Linked DNA regions of Arabidopsis thaliana. The protein of the gene in region 2 interacts with the protein of the main gene of each other region in a pairwise test. Each region holds a gene or a part of one and is shown on either strand. Other genes may lie near its edges.

Evidence for each region. Proteins that work in one complex are often made in the same cells at the same time.
Region 1: the proteins of KUP7 (region 2) and PIP2;8 interact in a protein complementation assay, tested with the Arabidopsis thaliana proteins (one large-scale study listed by BioGRID).

What each region holds. Positions count from the first base shown.
Region 1 is NC_003071.7:7,298,500-7,305,289, forward strand, and holds PIP2;8 (plasma membrane intrinsic protein 2;8), read left to right. Parts: upstream 1-2,834; 5' UTR 2,835-3,147; coding exon 3,148-3,427; intron 3,428-3,656; coding exon 3,657-3,952; intron 3,953-4,325; coding exon 4,326-4,466; intron 4,467-4,561; coding exon 4,562-4,681; 3' UTR 4,682-5,010; downstream 5,011-6,790. Other genes in the region: AT2G16860 (GCIP-interacting family protein), read right to left, coding at 5,640-5,867, 5,958-6,094, 6,211-6,451, 6,543-6,709. UniProt on the Arabidopsis thaliana protein: Aquaporins facilitate the transport of water and small neutral solutes across cell membranes.
Region 2 is NC_003076.8:2,912,673-2,922,030, reverse strand, and holds KUP7 (K+ uptake permease 7), read right to left. Parts: upstream 5,881-9,358; 5' UTR 5,655-5,880; coding exon 5,364-5,654; intron 4,801-5,363; coding exon 4,572-4,800; intron 4,475-4,571; coding exon 4,226-4,474; intron 4,117-4,225; coding exon 4,066-4,116; intron 3,956-4,065; coding exon 3,695-3,955; intron 3,526-3,694; coding exon 3,473-3,525; intron 3,357-3,472; coding exon 3,242-3,356; intron 3,086-3,241; coding exon 2,831-3,085; intron 2,745-2,830; coding exon 2,222-2,744; intron 1,977-2,221; coding exon 1,427-1,976; 3' UTR 1,208-1,426; downstream 1-1,207. Other genes in the region: EICBP.B (ethylene induced calmodulin binding protein), read right to left, coding at 1-119, 526-744, 1,132-1,138; AT5G09390 (CD2-binding protein-like protein), read right to left, coding at 6,228-6,297, 6,424-6,501, 6,640-6,811, 6,951-6,992, 7,082-7,211, 7,352-7,525, 7,602-7,727, 7,853-8,042 and 1 more; AT5G09380 (RNA polymerase III RPC4), read left to right, coding at 8,895-8,921, 9,007-9,062, 9,139-9,199, 9,298-9,334. UniProt on the Arabidopsis thaliana protein: Probable potassium transporter.

The DNA.
Region 1 (6,790 bases), on a different chromosome or scaffold from region 2:
TTAAATTTGAATATCAAGAGTTAGCAAGTTGTCAAAATATAGACAAACTCAACAAATTTATACTGCTTCACTGATTCTCTATTTATATTACATACATACATCAAACATATTAGTGTTAACGAAATGAAAAATGAATTTCAAGTATACAATTTAATCCGTCCGGATCCTACCTAATTTTTGTTAAAAGGAAAGGGGAGATTGGAGAACAAAAGGCTTGAGAATAAATTGCAAACCATATATGATTCGGTTTAGACTCCATGCCTAGTAGGATTATGAGATTGTAATAAGATAATAACGTTGTAGAATTCATATTGGGAAGCCCTATATGATTCGGTTCACTGGTTGCGTTGCAAATATTCTACGAGGTGATTTGGTTTGAGACTTGAGAGAGTTATAGGCAATGAGGAATGAAGCCCAGGCCCTGTGATCTTTTTACTATCTTACTAAGCAAATCTAAGCTAATTGTAAAACAAGAAAACATTTTAGAGAGAGAAATTCATAGATTTGAGATCCCATAAATAGAGATAATTGATGTTCATTTTGGTAATAAACCCCAAAAAGAAAAGTCATAACGTTCCGTCAAAGAAACAAAAGTAAAGGCCTAGTAGTACGGCCCAAATACTTTTGGCGGGAGTTAGAAGAAAAATAAAAAGTCAAGCACGAAATGTGTTTGATGGAATGCCAAAGCGAGAGAGAGACAACAATGGTTCAAGAAGAACCTATGAAACTGAGAATCACCGAAGTTGTTGACATTGAAAGAAGGTGGTGAGCTGTCATTCTTTTTTTCCTTCTTCTTCTTCTCTTTCTCCTATTGACATTGTTGGAGGTCTCATTCTTCTTCATATTCTTCTTTGGCCTTCGATTCTTCTTCTTAGGCTTTGGTGGTTTTTCTTCTACTACATTAGCTTTGGAGTCTAAACACATAGGCATAATAATTTTTGAGTATATAATTTGTTGATATGAATAGTTAAATTTTTGAATTTAAATAATATTTGTATTAACTAATTAATAAAATTATTTTATTATCGTTTTCTGAATTTTTAATTACAATTTTCTTAAGATTTTGGGCATATAATCCAATTATTCCTTCGAACTCACAATTATGATTCATAACACATGTATAAGAGTTAATCAAAATTGTGATGTACAACACATGCACAATTCGAGTCATTAACTTTTGGCGTCAACTTGCTGCTTCTGTAAGTACAAAGCTTAATTGCTATACAAAAATAAATTGAGGAGAACAGATAAATATCAAAGACATCTCGACCGAACCTAATCAATCCAACAAAATTCTACATACTCGATATCCAAATTTAGCAAGATCTATGCGATTCAAGTGTCTTGAGGCATAAAAGCAATCACAGTGAATAATCGAATTTGAAGTCAGGATCAACAAACAAATACTAACAAACTAGATCTAGGCATACCTATATAGAGGCTGGGATCTTCGTTCTTCAATTCATGTTAAAGAATTTAATAGCCATCATCTTCCAAAAAAAGAGTAACTAGGGTAGAAAAAATAATCGAAAACATAATTCAAAATAAAATATAATTATGAATCTAGAATTTCAAGTCTATTTTAAAACCTCTATAAATTAATATTCGATAAATTAATAACCTCTATAAATTAATAAATTCTTCCTGTCCCGAGTTGGGACCAGTGTATAAATGTATACAAATCGATAAATTAATAAGATAATAATTTTTTTGAAAATCCTATGTAAATATATGGTCTCATCAATATTATGTAAAACTTAGTAAAATATGACTTTAGTATTATTTTTCTTCAATTTATATAATTTATATTAATTCTGTGTAAAATTTAATTCTAATTATTTTACTACGTATAAAAAAGTTTTTTTTTTGTTTTAAACATAATAAAGGTTTTCTACTTGTAATTGATTTTTAGAAAAATTATTGAGTGTATAGAGAAACTACCTTTTAGATCAAATTTTTGTAAAAAATTACAAATTTGTAAAATATCTCCATAAATTAATAATTATTAATTTATCGATAAATTAATATCTCTCTAAATTAAAAAAAATTTTGGTCCTGACATTATTAATTTATAGAGGTTTTACTGTAGTTACAAACTGCGCATGGTTTGTCAAATTCTAAAACATGCTTTGTTTATTTTGAAAATAAAATAAAATGATACTAGATGAAACAAATATAATGAAAAGGATATTTACCAATTGATTATTCTTATATTTCCATATTTTTTTATTTTAGCTACTATTTTTGAAAACTTCCATTAACTCTTTCACTAAGAGCTGTGATAGTACACAAAAAAAAAAGCTGTGATTCAAGTTTTTCTACTCATAAAATATGTCTTTGATTTTTTGTAGTAATTATAGGCCGTAGGCCAATCTTTCAATATCATACACGTAGGCACGGGCTAGTGCTGGCCCAAATTGGAGATGGTCTTAGTGGTTAGAAACGAATGTTTAAATTCTTAATTAACTTTTGTAAAACACCAGATAGTTTGTAATATACGACGAGATAGTTGAAACTTATGTCCAAAAAAGAAACAAAAGAAAGAGAGTATGTTCATATAGTAATAGGGAAAAGAAAGAAATATAACCGTTGGTGATTAGTCATTTAGTTGGATGACAAATCTCTCTCACCTTCACATGGACCAACGGCTTCTATGTCCCACCAATTTGTACTCTCAATCTCCTTTACCTTATTTATTCATTACACCAAAGCTACGACACGACATGGCTTTTGTTTTATTTTCATTATATTTATGTTATTTAATGTTACAGTACATACAATATTTAGCTTTTATGTCATGCATTGGTTATTAGTATTTTGTATTACTAGTAAGATTGAAAACGGTTTTAAGAATGTAGGAGTGTGTTTCACAAAATTGAGAGTATTGCAATTACATGAGAGTGTTCAGACTTCAGAGTATTACAAACCTAACAAACCTGGATATTGTGATATGACTGGCTTTTAGGTTTTGTAGGTCTCCCATTTGATTATAAACAAAATGTATTTATTACCTATATTCCAAAAGTACCCTTATGTTCCATGTTCTCTTCTTATAAAGCAACACACAAGATGCAAGAAATCTCCATAACTAGAGAGAGAAACTAATCTTTTTAGTGAGAGAGAAATCTTAGAGCTGAGCTAAGAAAAATGTCAAAAGAAGTGAGTGAAGAAGGAAGACATGGCAAAGACTACGTGGATCCACCTCCAGCTCCACTTCTAGACATGGCTGAGCTTAAGCTCTGGTCTTTTTACAGAGCTATCATCGCAGAGTTCATCGCCACTCTCCTCTTCCTCTATGTAACCGTAGCTACAGTCATTGGCCACAAGAACCAAACCGGTCCTTGTGGCGGTGTTGGTTTACTCGGCATTGCGTGGGCCTTTGGTGGCATGATCTTTGTCCTCGTCTATTGCACCGCCGGTATCTCCGGTAAATATTTCCACAAAAACCACAAAAATTTCCATAAACTTCAGTTTCAAGATCTTAATATGAAGTTGTTTAGCAATGATACATTTATAATTCAAAGATACATTTTTAGCAAGTTTTTGTTTGGTAAAATACCTTTTTAGCAAGTTGGTAAAATATTTCAACAAAACTTTATCCTAAAATTACTAAACCTTAATCTTCAACAACTTAATATGGAGTTGTTAACTTGCAGGAGGTCACATTAACCCAGCTGTGACATTTGGTCTGTTCTTGGCTCGTAAAGTGTCGCTCCCTAGAGCAGTTGCTTACATGGTGGCTCAGTGTCTTGGAGCCATTTGTGGAGTTGGACTCGTTAAGGCCTTTATGATGACTCCATATAAACGTCTCGGAGGCGGAGCTAACACCGTAGCTGATGGTTATAGCACCGGAACTGCTCTTGGTGCTGAGATTATTGGCACATTTGTCTTGGTTTACACTGTCTTCTCCGCCACTGACCCCAAAAGAAGTGCCCGTGACTCTCACGTCCCGGTTAGTAAAACTTTGCAAACCAGTTTTGTATAATTTATAATTATTCTAAAGCTGAATTTTTTACTGTTCTTTCATGGTTTCAAAATGTGATTGTGTAATTTCTAAAAATAGTTATTCTTTTCTAAATTTTTCATAGATTTCATGATGGGTTTTTCTTTACTGTTTTTTCATGATTGAAATTTTTGAACATATTTCTAGGTATTTAGGTTTGTGTAGTTAATAAACTTGAATTTTTCTGAATATTTATCGTAGGGTTTGACATGGATTTTTGTAATTTTTAACAAGTTGAATTCTTTTGAATTTTTTTTCTTATGATTTCACATGGGTTTGTTTAATTTCTGAAAAAGTCTTTTGAATATTTTTATTTTTATAGGTTTTGGCTCCGTTACCTATAGGGTTTGCTGTGTTCATGGTGCATTTGGCTACTATCCCCATAACTGGAACTGGGATTAATCCAGCCAGAAGCTTTGGTGCTGCTGTTATCTACAACAATGAGAAAGCTTGGGACGACCATGTAAATATAGTTCTCTCTCATTAACAATCAATTTACTTATTTTTTTGTTGAATAATTACTAATTAAGTTTTGGGTTAATGGATTTGAATTTTTAGTGGATCTTTTGGGTTGGACCATTCGTGGGAGCATTAGCAGCAGCAGCATACCATCAATATATCTTGAGAGCTGCAGCAATCAAAGCTTTGGCTTCATTCCGCAGCAACCCAACCAATTGATGATTCATGAGACTTCTTAGAACAATTTGAGATCTTTTTTTTTGTGTGCTTAATGAGAGATATTTGTGTGTTTTAATTTGATGTAATCGGATTTATTCATTTTCATAGTTTAATTTGGTTTAATTCATCTTTGTCCGTTGCTTTCTTTCATGTAGGGCATCTTATGATTCACTTTTATACTTTAGTACGAATTAAAACATTTGTTACAAGTTTATATGAACCCACATGCATGTTCGTATAAAACATTCCTTGGTGTTTTTGTCTTATGTTACTTGATTCTTCTTATCCGGTGGTCGGATCATAAACCACTCACATATGACATATTGACACATGTTCCTTAGTTAGAATAATAATAGACTATAATAGCTAAAGCCTTGGGGCATGCAATAAGGATTGGAGTTTAGCAATAAGCATTATCACGTCTCGTCTTTTCAGAATTGTAGAGACAGAGAAGTGTGTGTGGTCCTTCTGATAAAGAGGTCAAAAATTTCGAAAAGGGCTCGAAAGCAGACGGAGATGAAGAGAAAAAGATAAAGGACCACCACACTAAAGGGTCCACACTCTTCACCATAGACCACTTTACACATTAGTCTATCCATCTCGATAATAACCGGAATTCGTACCCAAACCTTAAATTTAAGCAGATTTCTTCAAAACATTTTCTTTTACCAAAGTTGTGTGTCCTCGAGTTTGGCTACATCAGCTGATTCTATTTTTGACAAAGAAACAAAGAGAAAAAGTAAAAAGCTAAAACTTTTTTCTTGTTACCGTTTGTTCTCTCTAGCGAGAGCTGGTACAGAAATTTTGTTTGAATTTCAAAGTGGGCTAAAGAAACGTTCATTCTACAATTTAGTTCTCTCAAGAAGGATAATTTAAGGACAATTAATCAGACAACAGCATAGTTTACTTTCGAACCAGAAATCCATTCCCTTGTTTCCAACATGTGAGCTCAAGTAGCTTAGTCGGGTAATGCAGTTCCTCGTTCCAAGTTGTTTTTGATCTCCAGCGTGTATTTCCCAAACGCACGCTCGATTTTCTTGTTGAAATGCTCGTTTCTGTCGTTGATGGAATCGATATCCTTCTCTTCCCGGAACTTCCTCCTCCTGCTAAACTCTTGTCGCTTTTGCTCTCTGTCTAAGAGCTCTTTTGCCATCTTATCTATCTTATCTTGCGAAGTTTTTGGAGCCTGCAAAAGTTTAACAAAGGATTGAGCTTTTCTATGACTCTTTACTTTAGATTTGAGTCTCTCATTGACCAAAAACGACAAATCACAAACCTTTCCATATTGCAAGCTTGAGGCCTCACGGTAAAACTCTGGATCAGCTGCTCTCATTCTGTTATACTCCTCCAGATCAACCTGAATGTTCTTTGTCCGTTTCTTGTATGCGTTGTATAACGTCTTCTGGTTAAAGACTGAAGATAAATACAACATTTCACACATTAGCCTCTCAATAATTGTGTAATCATCGAAGTGAAACATAACAAATGAGAAGAGACAAGAGTTTCAATTCAGTACGAATTTCACGTACCATCCCAACCCGCAGGCGTAGGTTCCTTTTCCCATTTTTTGTATTTTGATTCAGCTGCTTCTTGAGTATCGAGCATATAAGCCTGTGTCATATCTAAACCATTAGCATCAAGAAGTTTCCCAATCTTTTTCTTCCTCCCCTCCAACCATTTCTGTTTTGAGATTCCTTTTGTCTCTGTTGGTGCTTCCATTTTCTTCTTTTCACTCCCGACATCCGTCTGATTGGATTTTCTTGCTTCATTCTGAAACAAAAGCGTTATGGAAGAGTTACATATATAAAACGATCTTTGGATTCTTTAAAAGAATTACTAATGACTGTACAAAAAGACTTACCATCTTAAGTCTCAACTCAAACAACTTCTTTTGTCTCCCTGTAAGTTGAGTTACATCTACTTGAGGTTCTTGGTTATCCTCTTCCTCCTCTTCTTCTTCTGAACTATCTTCCTCTATTCTTTTATCATCGAGCGGCTCCCTCGTCTGCTCGTGAACTTTAGCTAATCCTTTTGGTACATGAAAAAGAAAAACAAGTCTCAGAATGGTAATTCACACTCACTTCTTATCAGAACTACATGAACATTTCA
Region 2 (9,358 bases):
GGCGGGTCGGGTGGGAGACTCTGATGCTATATGAAACTTGTGATAGTTCTGAAGAATTTCACAAATCTCAGTAGGCCTAAGCCACCTGTGTTGGGCTTCTGACAGCAACTGTTCCATATCTGCAAACTCATAGAAGTAAAACATGTATCAGTACTTAACACTTTTTTGAATCTGGGTACAAAATCTTCCGATAACACTATTACGCTACCACTAACAAAATATGAACATTCCCAATGAAACAGAGCAATTCAGCCTTAAAGCAGAAATTTCAAGAGCATAAATACATTATTTCGTCGCAATTTCAGATCAAGCAGACAAAAAATAAATTCGGACAAACATGTGGAACAACACCAGTAAGAAAAAAAAGAAGTGAGCTAAGTTCCTGTCTAATGAATAGATTCATTCGCCTACCAAATGTCGCAGCAAGAAAAACTCAAAAATATGGCAAAATAAACGTAATTTCAAGCTAGCAAAGGAACCAAACAACGGAGGGAAATAAACAGTGGAGAAGGAAGAGAAAGAGACCTAATTGGAGAGGAGGAGTTATAGAGCCAAAAGATCTGCGATCCACCATAGATGGATAAACCCAAAAATCCACCAAAAGAGATCTTAAGCTTTCGTAATCAAAAAGAGAATCAACGAACCCTAACCGATCTGAGTATGCATGAACTGAGAAGCTTATAATCTTGTTTCCTTCGTTTCGGGCTATATCCAGGTGTGAAAACGATACCGATTTTTTTTTTCCTTTTTTTATTGAAGCGAGACCGAGGAAGAGAACCGAAGTAAATCGCTTTGTTTTTAAACACTGATTTGGACCACGTAACCACCAATAAACCTCCGACACGTATACATGTCAGATTTGTCTGGCCCATCAAGTCTTTTTTCTTGGGCAATCAAGTCCATTTCCTTGAATTTAATTATTTAAACTTTTTTCTAATTCAAGATTGATGTCAAATGTCTTTTCCCTCTCTTTCCCGCGGCGGCGGATCTGGCAGTGGAGATTCTCAGATCTTGGTGGAGATCTAATAAGTCTATCAGATCCATCATTGATGAAGCTAAGTGAATATCAATCATCATCATCATTGTAATATATAAACATTAGCACTTTCATGAGAAACGGCAGTGGGGGACTAGCCATTCTCTTCTTGTGGTTTCGAGTCTAGGCTTCAGACTCCGTTATCATAATCACAGATTCCTAATTCATAGCGCAAAAACGAGATTCTATGGAAGTAAAGATGTAAGATTCGGGGAACCATGAAAATTCCTGAAATCAACATAGGCAGCTTTTTCCTCTACTAGATGCTCTATAGATTGGAGTAGTCAAATACTCGGATTCTTCACAACAATGCAAGAACATCAACGCAACATACAAATTTAGATCTATGGACACGAATAGAAACTACGTTTAAAAGAAGAAAGAAGATACTCAGACCATGTATGTCATACCGACCTGCATCAGATGCGACTGAGGCACACTCAAATTTGCGATCCCTCTCCTGCAGTTTTTCCTCAGGAATGTGTAGAAGTAGTTTATGACTAACTTCTTGATGAACCATGAATCTTTTCTTGCTCTTATATCGCCATGCCCGAGAAGATACACCACCCCTGATTCTTTCGCTTTGTGTATGAACGATAACTCTCTCTCCAGGCTTTGCTCAGCTTCAGATACAGAGGAGTCAGATGATGTGTCAAAGGGATGGTGGTTTGTGTGATCAGATGAAGTGTTCATTTCCATGATCGGTTTGTTTAAGTCTCTGTACTCAGAGAGAAGGGGAACCCCCATCGAGTACATGCTTCCGTTGGGGCCAATTACGACTCTAGAACCTGGGAAATCTTCCTCTGAGTCTGAATCATCGTTCCCGTCGCTCTCCAAGGAACGTTCTTGTGCTTCCCTTCGGATGAATTTCTCGAGGCTCTCGATCAGTAGCTGCTCAAATGCTTGGTGGGTCTCCTTTCTTGCGTCTTTATAACCATACCTACACCACATATAACACAAAGAGTGTTTATATTCGATTTGTTCAGCAACGAAATGGAACAGAATGAAGGAGATAATATGTTCTTGTGTGCTAAACAGTGGCTCTAAGACGTACTTCTTATATAATACAAAAAGAGAGAAGGAAATATCAGATCTACAGACTTGAGTAAGAATCTCTACGTTAAGTCTAATCAATCATATATGAACCATGAAAATTTGATCACTGAAAGGGAAAAACAGACCAACCTGGCAATGCAACGGAATAAGTGATAGCTTTTGGTGCAGACACGTCTGAAGAGGAACCTCTCATTCTGTGGTACAACTGGAACCGGGACATATTTTATGCAGACGAAAATGACCATGGAATGGATTGCAGGAAGTGTAGTCAGAAAATGGCCAAATATTGCCGGTACTCCCTTCACTAACTCATTGTACAGCAAACCGATACCAGGAGCTCTTATCGTTCCCAGGTTGCACCCAAGTTCTCTCATTAAATCCATTGACAGCTTTTGTTCGACTTCTGTTTCATACCTGAGCTTACTTCCATAGTTCCAAATATACATTATACCAAACATGATTACGGCAAAGACCAATATTATCCAGCTTCCATCCCCAACACTCGCTATGACTGATGAGAAAAAGACTAATTCCACTCCGAGAAAAACTACCAGAAAGGCAATCACGATTACGATGTTTATCTGCCATATAAGAAGCATGATTAACGTCACTAGAATTGTAGTTGTCATCATCACTCCTAGCTCAGCCATCCCTGGGAAATCGAAAAAGAAAATCAAAACGGGGGAAGCATATCGGATCACCGAAGCTAGACAGGGAAGCATAGAAAACAACTATTACCATATGCATTTCCAATCTCATCGATACTTGAGATTGAGCAGACGACGACCAGGCAAACGGCAAGCAGGAACCAGTTTAGGACAGGTATATAAATCTGGCCCATAAATTTTCGAGAAGTGTGAATAATTTTGAGACGAGGGAAACAACCCAGAGCTGTTGACTGTTTAATACATGAAAATGTTGCAGTCGTCATTGTGCGACTGGCAATCAGAGCTGCAATGTTGGCTATGAAAAGGACTGGCCAGAATGCAGAGCCTACAGAACGGAATGATGAATCAATAACTTAATACTAATTTGAAATACAAGTTTCTAATCCACACCACAAGAACAGCCTTTGCAGGGAAATCAAAGTGGTTTCATTTGCCAAAGAGGCATGTATATTACTGATTGAAGGAAGCAGCTGAACTTTACCTGGAACAGATGAAAAGAAAGCTTGACTAGCATCCGCATGATTCTCCATCAGGTATGCAGCTTGTCCCATATAACCCAACATGAGGCACGGCAGGACAAGACACACAAATGTAAGCTGCAGAAAACCACTACGAAATAAATTAAAGTTGCAGAAAATTAGTGGCAAAAAGTAGCATACAAAAAGAAAAAGATAAAACATCAGCCGCCAAAGGCTTTCTACTCTTCATTTACCTGGACTGATCTAACAGAAAAGTAGCAAAGGTCTGCAAATAATGCCTCTGAGCCTGAAAGATAAAGATTATATAACATGAACAATCAACAAAGAAAGTGTCACAATATTAGGCGGATTATTGAGCATAAAAAGGCTTACTTAGTTCAGTTAGCCATTGCTACAAGAGTAATCTAATTAATTTCTAATGAAATTTAAGCCATCCAGCAAAAGTGAAAAATTACCTGTAGCACAGAGAATGCAACCTCCAAGTGCATACCACGCATTTATAGAATTCCTCTTGAAGAAGTAATAGATGTGGACAGGGTTGAATGCTCTGTAAACACTGCTATCGTATTTGATCAGGTTGTAAATTCCAATACCAGCAAGAGAACAGAACCATATAAGTAAGGCAGGACCTACTACTAGTCCCATCTTACTCGTCCCATATTTTTGTAGACTAAAGAGGATCACCAGAAATGCAACTGAAATCATCACCACTTGATCTGCAAAGAAGAAAGAAGAGAAAGCTGAACAATAGCAAAAGATACAATGAAAAAGATAAAAAGCCAATACCAAAAAAATTCAAATTTAATTACACTATCATCTGCATTACCTTGCTCAACTACATCAACTCCGACCTTAAGTCCACCAACAGCTGACATTACTGCAATATAATCAAGTAAGTCGGATAAGTCCATATGGTAGTAGAAACCCCCTGTGCAATAAAACAAAATCATGCCTATGAACATACTTAGAAGAGGTTATATAAGAACCTGACATTGCAGGAGTTACAACCCCATCGGCAATCACCATGGAAGTTCCAGCAAGAACTAGCACGAGGAGAATTTTCTTCAGAATTAATGAATTCTCGAGTTTTTCTTTTAGTTTCAATGATCTCTCAAGCTCAGGGCAAGGCACCTTCAGTCTAAAACTTGAAATTCGGGTGTCTGAGCGAAGTTGGTTTGGGATAAGACTAATCTTGGCATGACGAGAGATTAATGAGTATAACGCAAAGGTCCCCCCTGAATATCATAAGTAATCAAAGCAGTTGGCACTGTATGTACAGAAAAGATTCAAAGCAAGATTATATTTAGAAGATCAGAATAGCTTAAAGCGTACCTTCACCATCATCATTTGCCCATAGAACAACAAGAACATATTTAATAAGGGGGACCAAAAGTAAAGTGTATAAAACTAGTGACAGTGCTCCAATAACATCTTCTTTTTCTTGGACAGGTGATTTACTGAACATTACACTGAACGTATACAACGGGCTGGTTCCTACATCTCCAAAGACAACCCCTAATGTTTGAAATGCAAGCAACACTTTCCTCCCAACGGTCAAGTCCTAGCAAAGTAAAAACACAAAAAAAAAAGTTTGGTTAACTATGCAGAGAAAAGTACTGGCTCACAGATACAAGTCATAGATCTTAGATCTAAGATCATCCATCATTATTTATCTGCAGAACTTGCAAAAAGTAGTAGCCGTAGTTACGCTTTAGAATCAGAAAACAAATATCCACTGCTCTCAGACCGTGCATCCCTTGCAGGTTTCCATCCCAGGACACAACCATCATTAAGGAAAACAGATCAAAACAACATCCCAAACAAAATAGATTTATGAGCCCATCTCCATCACTGCAACTTGGAAGAATCGCACACTAGCTAGTCACAAAGCATTCCTGATTCCTGTTCCTAATCCATAATTTCCACATATTGCTAAACTAATTTTGACTTGATCTCTTATGGTACTTCCCTATTCAGTGGCCCTTTCTAGTTGATATCCGAGCTCTGGCAAAAACAGCTAAAAAGTGACTGTACTGTTTAAGAACCTAAGAAGACACACATCATGCTAGTCCATCACTATATATGTTGATATGAAATGCACTAATACACGAAACTATCAATCACCTCGTAATCATTTCTCGGAGCACCAGGAACTTCAAGCGCTTCCACGTCGAAGGAATCAACACGTGGACCAGTACGGATCAGGCGATGCTCAGGTATCTCGTCCTCATCGGATTCGAGTCCAGTACCGTCGAATCCATCATTATCATCGTCAACGCCGATCTCGGAATCATCATCGTCTTGAATAACCCATCGAGACTCGATAGAATCCATGGATGCCATATCTCCAAAACCACCACCTGAGCTATCGATCTCTTCTTTTTCAGAACCTTCCATACTGCTTTCCTCCGCCATTTTCAGAACTCTTAGATTGCAATCAAAGCTAAAGTAACCTCCGAAAGTTTCGCAGGGTCGATCAAACGAGAAGAATCGTAGAACTAGAGTTTCGCATCCGATCAAAAGTTCTCAGGAGCAAATAAAGATTTTTCGACGAGAAGTCTTGTTTCTTCACTGCCGATTCATGCCGATGTTCTCAATCTCTGCTTTACCAGTTCGCTGCTGAACCGGTCTGATACAAACGTGACATGTTCTGTACCGGAAGTCTGAACCGGTTAGATTGTGTTATTGGTCAACGTTTGGTTTGAGACTTTCTTGCTTCATACTGTGAGAGTGTGTGAGGATTACGATAACCTCTCAGGCTCTGTTTCATAATTTCGTTTTCTTTCTTCACAGCTAATTTTGTTCATACAATTATAAGATTGTCCAAATTTACTTTCATCTCTATAATTTCTCATAAATCAATGAGAAAACCAATAAATCCAAATATATTTATATAAACTCATGTATGATGTGCTTACTTTCAAACTAAAAACAACAAGGGAAATATTTCAAGACCCTGTGTTAGTCAAAAGTACAGACAAACGAAAATTAAACTTCTTCAGTAGCAACTTCAGAAACCACCTCTTTATATTCCTTAGTCTCTTCATCGTACCTGTACCTGCACGCATATTTTGTAATCAAACACATAACCAGAATTGAGCTGATAATCGAAATTATGAACACATGAATAAAGAGATTAGTAATGGGTTTTCAAAATTCTAAACTCATCCCAAGTAAATTTTACCATTTTCCGGTTGTTGCGTAGCAGTAAAGTCCAGTGTTCGGGTCATAATAGTAACCAAGGCTGCTGCTGTAGTAGTACCTGCAAAACCATTTATAGAATACTTTTAGATAAATAAAATTGAGATTCATAATGAATATTGCTAGCAACACAATACTTCGGACAAAAAGCTGACTTATGCAACAAGAGAGCGCGAGAGGAGAGTATATACAAACATACCCTGAAGATTCATCAAACACATAATCAGAATTAAGCTGAGTGCCCGAGATGGAGCTAGACGGTTGTAGATCAGAGGAAGGTTCAGGAGCATTCTCATCATCGCCAAACATATCACAAGATACTATATTGGCAGTCCCATTTTCTTTCGCTTGAGCTAGTCTCTCATATCCTTCTAAAAGACCAACATAGAGAAGAAGAATGTGAAAAGTCAAGCCAATTGTTCCCGAATGTTGTGAAAAGGTGATATCACAAAGCAGAGGAAACGTAGCTACATCTACAGCTGATATTGAAAAAGTATTAGAATCTCTAACCTGCTTCACGTTGGAAAACTTCTTGCTCCTCATGATAAACATCTTCAATACATAAAAAGAGGAACACATATATTAACAAATGGAGGACATCATATTTGTTGTTGAAGTAGCATAAGTTATTAGAGACTTACTGTAGTCGCCGTTCTCGATAAGCTTGTCCGCATCCTCAGTAAGCTGATCAAAGATAAGCTTGGTCTCAGATGTCATCTTCTCCTTGCGATTATTCGAATTCCCTTTCAACCTCCTTAAAGCTCGCAAGACCTGTAACATGAAACCGATTTATTTTACGTGTTCGAAGTATGTATAATCAACAATGCTATATTAAGGTGACATTTTTAACTAATACAATCCATGTTTCATGTTTGAAACAAAAACTTGTTAAAACGCAGAATGAGTCTCACCGTTTCTCCTGGTTCAAGGACATTAGCAATGCGCCTCTTTCTAACTCCGATTTCATCTTGAGAAAGGTCATCCCCTGCTTTTTCGTTCCCACTATCATCATCCATCTCAGTATCATTTGCAGCAGATCGTCCCATATACATTGGATTTTTTTCAATACTGTCAAGCCATGCATCCTGAAAGAAAACACATATAATGAAAGACAATACACAAGATATCTTGGAGCTAAGCTTTACAATGAAAGATGTGTACCTTGACTTCCTTTTCTCTAACATATTCTACAAAGTTCCCATCAGCATCAAAGTAACCTTCTTCTTTCTCTCTGTCCAGACTAAAAGCTTCAATCTGGATCCCATCTTCTGTGCGATTGCCATCATCCTACAATGAAATAAATCACATCAGCATAACTCTTTTTGCAAACAAACATCATTGAGATCTCGCAATATACACAATTAGCTTCCAGGAACAGTCAACAAACAAAAAGAGGATAGTAGAAATCCTACCTCATAAGTCTCCTGAGCCTGATTAATATCATCACTGTCATCTTCGATAAAGAGCTTAGTAGTATTCTGATTGCGAATCTTTGCACGCTCCTTAGCAGCATCACGGGCTTTGCGGCGGGCTAAAGCTTCTTCCTCTAAGAGCTGTTCAGGTTTCGACTTCTTCCCCTTTGGAAACCGTACTCGCTTTTCGCTGCCAGAGAGAATCCTCCATTAGAATCCACATTATAGCGTATGCACACAAACTCAAGTTGTAACTGAGACAAATTTCAAAGCTGATTAATACTCCAAGTTCAAGACAATCATATGTTTGGCATTCAATTTCAGGTTCAATGTCTAAGTCTAACAAAATTGAGGAGAAGAGAGAATCAGATGGAAGAAACAAGAGCTACTAATTCAATTTTTCCTACCCTAAAACTGAGTCAATCAACCGGAAACGAAAAGAAGAAACACGTATCGTCATGCTTAGCAGAACAAAATTGGAAATTAGGGTTTTCGGAAAAGATTGTAAACTTACGGAGGTTGTTTATCGGAATCTTCATCTTCTAAGAAGGATCGTTTAAGGTTCCTCCTCGACGAACTATCTGCCATTGCACAAGCGTTAGACGAGAACAACGACGATTTGTTTATTTCCAGGCGGTGAGAATCGCCGTCGAGGGGAAATAAGACGAAAGCATGAATTCTCGCCGACGTTTACAAATTGGGCCGTATTAATGGGCTGAAAAATGGGCCTTAAAAAGCGCGCTTAACGTTTGGAATTACTATGTCTGTTTCCTTTAATTTACCGGTTTACTTTTTTACCATGGTTAGACTAAAACGCCGCCGTTTTGGCACAGGCCCTAATTTATGGGTTCTCTCCTTAATTGGTGATCATCCTCCTTCTCAAGCTGTTGGCCGTCATTGAACTTGGAGTCACAGGTCAGCTTCTGATTCTTAATTCTGTGAATTTTTCGTTTCAAAATATTAACCGAATACTTGAATAATCGTAACTAAATATTCTTCTGGGGTTCTTTTTATTTAGTCGAAGTGTTTGAATTCAATTGCAATGGAGCAGAAACCACCAGTACGGAAGGTTTGTGTTTGCTATCATCGTTAACTTCTCATGTTAGATAAAATATTTGGCTCTGCTAAATTTTCGATTTTGCGTTCTTCTGCAGATGAAGTTTGCCCCAAAAGCTCCACCCAAACGTGTGCCAAAACCTGAAGTTAAACCGTAAGCAACACTAATGACTGATCTGATTAACATAAACAGATGTTTTTCTTCTGAAACTTTTGAATTATGAATGCAGTGAAGTGGTTGAGGATAATAGTAACAGTGCACAAGCATCGGAATTGCTACGCAGAGTTAATGTAAGCTTTTTTTTTTTAATCGTTGAGTGAAATTGTCTTTGCTCTTGTGTCTTCTTACTTACTCAGTTCTCTTTAATTTTGATTTTTGTTTGCCTTAGGAAAGATCATTGCGCAAGCCAAAAGCGGACAAGAAAGGTAGTGTCTTTAACTTGAAACTCA